2 linked regions of the Drosophila melanogaster genome follow. The protein of the gene in region 2 interacts with the protein of the main gene of each other region in a biochemical or structural test. Each region holds a gene or a part of one and is shown on either strand. Other genes may lie near its edges. The genes, in order: Gug and svp.

What was found.
Region 1: the proteins of svp (region 2) and Gug form a complex in vitro, tested with the Drosophila melanogaster proteins (one study listed by BioGRID).

What each region holds. Positions count from the first base shown.
Region 1 is NT_037436.4:8,448,386-8,453,202, reverse strand, and holds the start of Gug (grunge), read right to left. Parts: upstream 3,282-4,817; 5' UTR 2,746-3,281; intron 2,556-2,745; exon of another isoform or gene 2,516-2,555; intron 1,429-2,515; 5' UTR 1,075-1,428; intron 1-1,074. Other genes in the region: CG6983 (uncharacterized protein), read left to right, coding at 4,018-4,054.
Region 2 is NT_033777.3:12,279,025-12,284,199, reverse strand, and holds the start of svp (seven up), read right to left. Parts: upstream 3,091-5,175; 5' UTR 2,606-3,090; coding exon 1,951-2,605; intron 1-1,950. UniProt on the Drosophila melanogaster protein: Receptor that is required in photoreceptors R1, R3, R4 and R6 during eye development; generation of the ganglion mother cell-2 (GMC-2) fate in the nb7-3 lineage, coinciding with the transition in the expression of HB to KR in the neuroblasts (NBs).

The sequences.
Region 1 (4,817 bases), on a different chromosome or scaffold from region 2:
ATGCATTATTAGCACGTTATTTATTAATTAAACACTCCAGCCTTTTAATGCGTCTCTAATCAGATGGCCTCGCCGCCGCACTCTTCGTGGATTTTGGGTTGGTGGGTGCAGATAAGCGGGCGTGCCGGGCAAATGGAAATGTGGAAATGGGCAGGGTGTGGGTTTCGAAGATAAGCAAGGCGGCAAGCGGTGCAAATTGTCTGGGAATTTCCTTGAAATCAATCTCCGTTTTCCAAGAACTAACTGCCTCGAATTTCACTTGGCTAAAAGCAAGTTAAACCATGGCACTTCATTGGAAGAGATAAAGAGATCCGTAAATCCCCCATGAACAATGCGTAAAATTGCGTATCATATGACCTGGTAATCCCTCATTAGCTCTGATTTAATCCTGCACCATATTGCTTGTATAACAAGTGACCTACAATAGCTACAATACAAATTAATCTATTTAACTAGATGTGGCCATAAAACGATGACACTATAAATACAAAATGGCAGCTAATCAATATTATCTTTATTTAAATTGATAAACATATAGAGGACAACCAAAACTAGTTTTGATAGATTCATATAGTTATTAACAAGTGGAATATTTTCCAACAATGCGCTAAAGAGTTTCTAAACTGTCTGATCCCGGTCAACCCTTTTTTTTTTCATTCCGAACAAGGGTGTACTAATTGGCCTACAAGGCAACTCATTAGCAGTATACAAGTGCGGCGATAAAGATCTGTTTCAGTGGGTTTAGGGTATGTGTAAGCCTTATCATCGATCTAATCGCAATTCCCCCTAAATACCACCAGCCCACAAAATGAACACCACAAATCCGAATATGAGCGACAATAGCAAAGCAACGGATTAGGGGCACGCGCCCCCCGGTTTTCTAATTGCTTTGGGATACCATTGGAAAATAGTTTCCTCCATTAGCCGAGTGGAAACCCTTCGGCACAATGAACAAGCAACCCCATCGAGGGGATGTGACACATGAGACGGGGGCCAGCGTGAAGTATCGAATTAAGCAAACAAATAATTATAATTAAATGTGTGCGCCGGGCTCGAACAGATGTCTTGGCTCACCATGAATCCGTAGTCGGGGTTGTGTATCGTCGAGGCGTCCCGCACGAAGATGCTCCTCTCTCCAGCAGCAGGCGGCAAAGTAACTCCGGTCTACGGTCTCCGTCTCCAGATTCCAGACTCCAAGTTGCTGAGGATGATGATGATGATGACGACGATGGTGATGTGGTGCTGTGTCGATGGATTTTCAAAGGGGGTGGGCGGCGGTCGTGGTGGTTCTTGTTGCTTTGCTCCTGTTGTTCTTGATATTGTTGTTCCTGCTGTTGTTATTGGTGTTGTTGTTTTTGTAGTTGTTGCTCAGCGAGGAGGCAGCGAGTAGCCGGAAATGTATATTTCGGTTAATTTGCACAAACACAGCTGGAAGGCGAAGAGATGACGTAGGTGAGAGCCGAGACGATGGAGATGATTAAGCGAAAGAAAAAGAAAATGAAAGAACCAAACAGAAGAATTGAGCAGCTGGGGCGCAAGGAGCGCCCTGCGAAAAAACAATGCCCCACTAGCGATACTACTACCAAAAGCAGTCGCCAAATGAGGCCATAGAACTTGGCAATTTTATACGTTAGCTATTTGCATAGCATAGTTGAAATCCTATGTACCTGGTTTTGAGTTGAGAACTTTTAATTACATAATAATGTGACCCATATTCTTTGATCCTTTCCTTATTAAATTTTATAAACAATGTAAACCAGGCAGACCTATGTTCAAAACATCTGTAATAATAATAATCAATCTATCTATCTATTTGGACTGTATAATATTGAATAACAATAGCTATCAGAAAATCTTTAGTACCAAGATGACATATCTAAGTAAGTCGTAGTAGTCCATATCAATAGTACTATTAGTACGGGGAATAACGCCAGTTATAGCGATATTTTTTATAATCTATTGCCAATAAATACAATTCCAAACACTTCTCTAGCATTAATAGTGGGTAAGTACATATTTTAGCTTATTTATCAGCCAGCAAAAAGGCAACAAGACACATTTTTCCGACAACGTCAGCAACAGCAATTGACTGAGTGGAAGAAGAAGAAGAAGAAGCACGGCCAGCAGGAGCGGTCACAGGAACAGGGAAGGGCGGTGTGGGGGGGGGGGGGCTTTACAGGAATGGGGTTAGTCCGAGGCAGGAGCATCCTTGGGGGGTGGTGGGTGCGCTGGCCGCAAGAGCGTCGCGTTGCGTCGCGTCGGTGGTGACGCCGACGATAACAACAACAACAACAACAATAACAAAGGGGCAACAACGGTGGTGGGTTGCTGCTGTTGTTGCTTGGCCTGTTTTTGTTGTTTTAGTTGCTGCCCGTGCTGCTGACGCTTGGATTTTTGCTTTGTTGTTGCTGCTGCTGCGCTTGCGATTCCTTTTCAGCAAATTTGTTGAGCCTTCGTTCGTGTTTGCATTGTTCTACCCCAAAAAGTTCATAATAGACTGGATTCAAACACCCACCCATCCGTCGGTCACCCTTTCAAAAACTGCGGGGGGGGGGGGGGGGATACGCCACTGTTTTCTCTGTTTTACTGTTTTTCGTTATTTTTTTGTTTTTTGTTTTTTGCTGCCCGAAAGACTTCACATAAATTTGAATGATTTGCACGCTGCGCAACTGCGATTCCAAATTAAATTAGTGACACACTTAGTAATAATTAATTTTCGCACACTTGTTGTAGATTTTTCCTTACGTTTCGCTGCTTGCTTGTTGTTGCTTTTTTTTTTATTGCTGCCGCTGCTGCCAAGTGTTGTTGGATTTTGTTGTTGTTGCTGTTGCTGCTTTCTGGTGTTTTTGTTGTTGGGCGCGCGTGAAACTCGTCGTACGCTTTTTTTTAATGCTCTTCTTCGTTTCTCTTCTTCTTTTTTTGCATACACTTTGCGCACACACACACTGACAGAGAGGCACACTCGCACACACAGGCACAGACAGAGAGCAGCGCACACAGACGTACACTCGAACACACACACACACAGGCACGCACTTTGGTTGCTTGCTTGCGTTTTTTTTATTGCCTGCCTTCGCTTTCAGTTATTTTCACTGGGTTCTTGTGCGATTTTCGGTTGCTTTTTCGCGGAATTTTCAGCCACACGGCGCAGCCAGCGTGGTTGCGAATGTTTTCGCCAGCAAATTACAATAATTGGCTGGCCAAGATGCGTGCTTTTTGTTAAAAATCGCCACTACGAATTTCTCCGCGAAGAAGCCACCATTTTGTAAAAATATATACTTTGCGGGGTCTGGCAAGGCTGGCGGTGGCAGAGTGGCAGCATTGCTGGTGGTCATGTGCTAAATAAGCCAGCAATTGTTGTGTAGCCAACAGCTTTCGTTGGTGAGCACTCGTAAGTTTGTCTTTTGAAATGGTAATTTATTTGTTTAAACAAGACTTAAAAACTTCTAAAGCATATGTTAAAAAAATAAATGATATATATTTAAACATTAATATATGGCTAACAGCTGTGTTTCAGATTTTCTATGAAATTTAATACGATGAAAGTTGGAGTTTAATTGGTTAACAGTCGATCTATATTAACAGTTTGTCGCAGCATATTGTGGGCTTACTTTAAAAATAAATTGCTTAATTTTCGTCCTAATAGGCGAAAAATTCGATTCCACAAACTTATATTTAATTTTTAAAAATCCAACTGATTGTAAAATATCCCTATTGTAAATTAACATTTCTGTTAGAACAGTGAACAAAAGCGCCATTTCGGCAGAAGCGACTATCGACTCTGCGCCTAACATCGATAGCCACAAGAAATCTACCGACGCACCACCACTATTGTTTATTTTGTTTTTCGTCGTTTTTGGATTCTGATTTAAATCACCTCGCTGCGAAAATCGGGAAATTCTAAAGAAGCGCGTCGTCTGTTTAAATTCTGAGGGTTCGCAAAATCGCTGGCATTTAACACTACCACCAAAAAAAAACCAAAACAAATCAAGAGCTGCGAATCTACGGATCCTCAAAATGTGCGACGAGTCCATTGAAAATGTGGAGCATCAAGGTAAAAATTAGTAACTCCGATTCCCGATGTTATTTGCCCAACTCATTTGTTTGGCCATTAAGTAGCGCCCAATATTTGCATAGAAACCAGCTCAAGTGCGTTAAAATATCATTAGGAAAAGGCGGCGGTGGGGGGTGTAGATTCTTTGGTTGATGGTAAAAAAAGGGTAAGTGGGGGTAATTGCGCGTGGATTTTGGCGATTAATTCGGTTTAATTGGAACAGAAAGAATGAAAAGAGTGAGCTAAATTTAGGCAAGTCAGGCCACTCGAGGGAATCGCTTGTTGTTTGCTGACCTTTTCTGCAAATCAGGACAGCTGCACTTCTTAGCGCAGAAACCAACATGCAGCTGGGAATGCACTGAAAAAAAGTGGGGGAAATAAGTCTGATTATATATGTGATACATTAAAAGTGTAACTTTGAGTGAGTAAGCGTAAGAGTAAGTGTATGTGTGCACGAGTGTTTTGGCCATTTCCTTCCCGTTCACTTCACACATTCGATTTCCGCCAATTGTTGTTCTTTGACCTCTTCTTCCTGCTTTTCTGTCGCAATATTAAAAATAATATTTGTTCATGGCCATAGCTAAGCCAATTTCGACCACCTACCGCCCACTTTTGTTGGCCACCGCAATCGATGGTTTTCCATTTTCCATTTTTACCATTTCGCCGACTTTGTCGCCATTCGCGTGACTTCAATGGGTTTCGCTTATCGCTTTTCAAACGGCGCTCGACCCGAGTTTTTATCAGCCTGTTGCAGCCTGCTTAA
Region 2 (5,175 bases):
CACATACCTATACCCATACCTATAGCTAGCCGTGTGCCCTGAAACCTGGAAACTGGACATACGGATAGACATACGGACAGAAGGGACCTCCAGACAGACGGACAAGTGAGCACACACACACACGGACACACACGAGTTTAGAGCTCAGACAGCCGAAACGAGTTGCCGCGCAACGGAGTGGTGTGGAGTGGAGTATCTTTCTTTTCTAAGAGCCACGAAAAGTATCTGCACCTCGAAGTGAATCAGCTGAAAGGACGCGACCAGGCACCAGAGTAGCAAACATAAAAAAAAAACCCTGAAAACGCCGGCAATGATATGGGCTCTATGCGCTTTATTATGATTATTCCTACGTTTTATTTCGCCAGCATTTGAGTGAAGCTAAAGCTACAGCTCTGCAGTCTGGGCGATTGCATAGAACAAAATAGATTGCTATCGTGGCAACATCATCAGGCCAACAGGCAACTACATACTATGCCACATGAAGGGATCCGGGGAAACACCTTCAGAATGCAACGAGGCGGTCACAGAGCCGCATATCTTCTGATTGTTGCTCTTGTGGGTTGCGCATGCGTACAAAATGCTCGGTGATTAATAATAATAGCAGCGCCCGCGAACGAACAGTGGGAGCCAACGGAGTGCCAAGTATCTGGGAATCTCTGGTATCATCATACCAATGGCCCACTGTGCCTCTGCCCAGTCATAGTCACTTCTTGGCTCTTAGCTGTGGCTGTGGCAGTGGCTTTGCCTGTGTGCTCCAGTGCCAGAACATTTGAAGAGATACGAGCATGACAAGTTCAACTTCAAGCTGCACTAAATGCCAGAGCGTATGCCAGATCTCCCTCTATCTCTGAATGCAGTTACCCATCTGCCCCGCCTCCCGCCTTCCATTGCCCATCTGCCACCCCTCTTTTCCGGAACTCCAGGTGAGGCTCCCCTTATCCAGAAACCCAGTGAGAGAGACAATAAGAAGGTGGGCGCTTCATTTAGCGGCCGCCGCACAATTTGCATGTTTGCACAACAATTGTTTGGCTTAGGACAAAGCACGGACCGTATTTTATTTAGATAATAATTTTTATCTGACGATAAGGCCGAGAGGCAGTGGGTGCCCAGATCGCAATATATGTATATATATATATATATGGCTATATTCAAGAGCTCTCGTGCTGCGAGCTCTAGTGTAACGGAATGATGGCCGGAGATGCAAAAGTATCTGAGTATCTGGAAAATCATCTGCCAGAACAGGGATTTTTTTTTAGATACTTTATCACCACTTTAGGGGCAATTGCAGCTGTAAAATTTAATTAGACACAATAATATATCAGCAAAAGACAGTAAGCTTATGCGCAAACATAAATCTCGCTGGGGTCAAACCAAACTATATTTTAGATCATAAATGTATTTTTTGCTCGTAAAAACATTTTTACATGATTTGGGGCCCCCGATCAACTAACTAGCTTTTGGGCTCCACGTAGGTTTATTGACTGCCCTGGCCCACAGATATACATTCCAGCTGCATCCCGTCAACTTTTGCATGGCCCTGGGAAGAATTCCCACTGCTCTACCATTCCGCCACACACCCACACCTGGCCGAGGGTTTATTGCCAACTCATCAAACTGCCATAACTCACCGAAACTGTCAAAAATCAGCGGCTGGCAGGCACGCTTTTGTGCTCGCTTTCTATTACGTTGGCCATTTCTGTTTGGTCATCCCCAGTTCGAATCCGAGTACGAAATCAATTGACCCCCAATTGCACCTTGGAGGTGAGATCGCTACTCAGCAATAAAAATTGCCAAGATGTGATGGTCCTCAAGATGGCACCAAATAGATACATTGACATGTATGGCATAAGCACAATTAATGTACTGGTGGAGTGGTAACATCCCTAGCTCACACATTCACTCTAACTGTTTCCCCCCCTATTTGAATATAATTTCTCGCAGTGTACTCACCTTCGCAGGTAAATTGTCCGTAGTGCTTGCCGGAACTCTTGTCGCCGCAGACGACGCACTCGATGTTCTGCTTGCTGTCGATCTGGGATCCACTGTTGCTGCTCTGCGAGTGGGAGCTATTCGCCTGGGAGCTGGGCGTGGTGCTGCCACAGCCCGTGGGCTGTCCCTTGATGCTGGTGAGCATGTCCTGGCCATGGCCCTTGATCAGGGGCAGCATGTCGGAGCCGTGTCCGGGATTGACGCCCGAACCGGAACCCGATCCGGAACCGGAGTGATGGCCACCGGCGGATCCACCATTGGCGCTGGGCAGGCTGCTGGACAGATCCTCCTTGATGCCAGGATGATGGCCGGATCCCGCCTGATTGAGGCTGGGGCAAGAGAGATCCTGCTTGATCACCGCCGACTGCTGGCTGGCCACGCTGCTCGGAGTGGTACCGCCGCCGCCCGTCGCCACGCTGCCGGTGGTGGTGCCCGGTCCGGCGGAGGCGGCGTGCAGGTGACCGCCGAGGGAGGCCGGCGGTTCGTGCCAGGCGCTGTGTGGCGGGACGCCCAGCCCCATCGAGCGGGACAGGCCGATGTCGAAGGCCGACAGCTCCGCGCCGGATTGCGGGCGCGGATTGAAGAAGCCGGGAGCCGTGGACGGGGAGGCGCACATGACGCCGCCGCCGTACACGCTCAGCGAATTGTGCGTAATAATTTTGGCGGCCGGGTCGGAACACGTGGGATAATTGCTGGAATACACTTTGTACGCACTTGGTACGGTTCACACTTTGGTTTCGATAGAGTCCTCGGCTCTAGCTTTTAACTTGTATCCTTTTATTCGTATTTGTCAGCCGCGTTATAATTCTTCTTCTTTATGTTAAAATAAATTTAATATTTTCTTTTAAGCTGCATATGCTGTTAACATTTCAGCTGGCTTCACTAATAAAACACTTGGTTTATTTTTGAATTTTTGAATTTTTTCGATGTTGCTTATTAATTTCCCGCTCGGCGCACACACGAGATATAATATCTTAAAGACTTGAAAATTTTTCAATTTCGGTATCTTTGCGTCATGCGGAGCAGCGAAATCTCAGCTGTTCTCGTAAGGCCTTTTAGAGCCTGACTGGCACAACATTCGTGGCAAAAGGTACACGACCCGACCCGACTCGACTCGACCGTTTCGACCTAACGACACATCACACAAATCTCTCTCCGCTCCCCATACTCAACTCAAACGGGCAGTGGTGCTGGTCTGCTCACTCTCGTTTAGCTGGCATTGCCTTCTAGTTGAGTGAAATCGCCGCTCTCGCTCGCTCGCGTTGGTGGGGCAAGACCTTCGACGCGTTTGGCTGGTTTGCCACCACCACTGAACCACCACCACCAGTGCACCCAGTATACCCACCACCACCACCACTGAACTGAAACAGAGTGGCTGCTCTCTCACTCAACGAAGCACACTCACTCACTCATCCAATCCAACTAGAACCCGTTTGCTCTTATTAGCTCGCTGTTGGGCGCATCTGTTAGATACTTTTACCGTTAAGGCTCTTTATCGCCGGACTTTTCGGTTTCGGGGGTCTCAACTTTTTGCCAATTTGTTTAAAATGAGTCTCCACCCCGAAAAAAGTTTTTCGGCGCTGTTTATCTTTTTGTTGGCTACTCGAATGTTTCTGCTCTGGTTGGCCAACCGCCTTAAAGTGCGTTCTACTTTGTATTTCACCAATTTCAGTGGCGCTTAAAGTCCGATTTCTTATCTGGAGGAAGAGTTTGGCGGCCATAATGCCCGTTCGCGGTTAAATGTTTGCTTTAAAGCTTCTTTTCTATTGGTTGTCAACCAAAGAACATCGAGCTTATCTCTGCTACTCATGAAGGTAGTGCGATGATAGGTGGCAGGATTGTATGTGATGCGAATAGATTACAATATGAAAAAGGTATATGATTGTAAAAAACCAAAAGAAAAACCGTTGCCATTTTTAAAATTATATAATAAAATTTATATATATAACTCATTATAGATCCAGTTGCTTTATTAGTTTTTATCGCATTGCTATTCAACAATAAATAAGCCAATATTTAAAGCGGCCCTTTATTGCTCTAAGCAATCAATAAATAGCTAACAGACTTGCTTTTATATGAATTTTATGTGATTAAATAAATGGGATATACTCAGCTATTGAAAAGTTGTCATTAAAATGTCTGTCAAGAAGCACGTGTTGCAGAGAATATTTATAAAATTTGCATTGCTTCCAGATACCGATTCATAAAATGTGAAGAGCAGTGGCACTCGATACTGACCCCAATGTCGCGCAACGAAAACGCATCGTATTATTAACGCTCAATATACCCGGGGACTGCCCCTAAATGAAAGTTTAGCAGCCGTCGTGGCCAAGTGAAGCCCACTGACTGTCGTAATATAATTATAATAATTTCCCTTGGCTAATTGGATCAGTGCACTGCAGTCCCTGGGCTCCTCGACTTGTACTTTGTTGACTTTGTTTACGTGTCTGGTGGAAATGTGGTTGGGGAAGTGCCAAAACATGAAATCATAACGATAATTGAATTCATTCTTAACGAGGACACCTCGCGCAACCTGATATGTCCATTTGGCGACTGTTACTTCTTGGTTTTTTATTTGAAATTAGCATTTAACTACCGCCCATTTGCACGCAACTAACTTCTGGAGAGTGAAAACTTAAAGGCAATCGCTGGATGCCACGCAACACTGTTGCCACTTCGTTTTTCATTCAAAACGGGTGGTTGGGGAAATGGAAAATATTGGAAAAGTGTCGCTGGCTGCAAAGCCAAGAGTTGCAGGCCAGTCCAAAGGGCCAAATTGTGGCCACCGCACTTTGCACTTCCCCGCCCACCTCTTGCCAACGAAATGTATGAGTGGAGTGGGTGGGCGCAGGGCGTAACGGGCCACGGAGTCTGGCGCCCTCTGTCGGTGGTTATCAAGGGGGTTGGGAAGGCCATGGGAAGGCCAGAGCGAAGTGCAAACGTACAATTGGATGATGAACGATACGCCACCCCGAGTTTGCGTTTGCACTCGAATAAGAGAGAGAGAGAGCCACCTCCAATTGGACTCGGTTTCACTCAGTAGCTAGAGTTTCGTCAAGTTTTTCTTGCTCTTTCGCAGGCCACGCCCCCTTAGCCAGTATATAGCAATCTCACTCTGACCAAGAGCTCCATCTCTCTCGGCTCCACTGCCATATCATTAACTGTATCGGAATTTCGCTCGTTTGC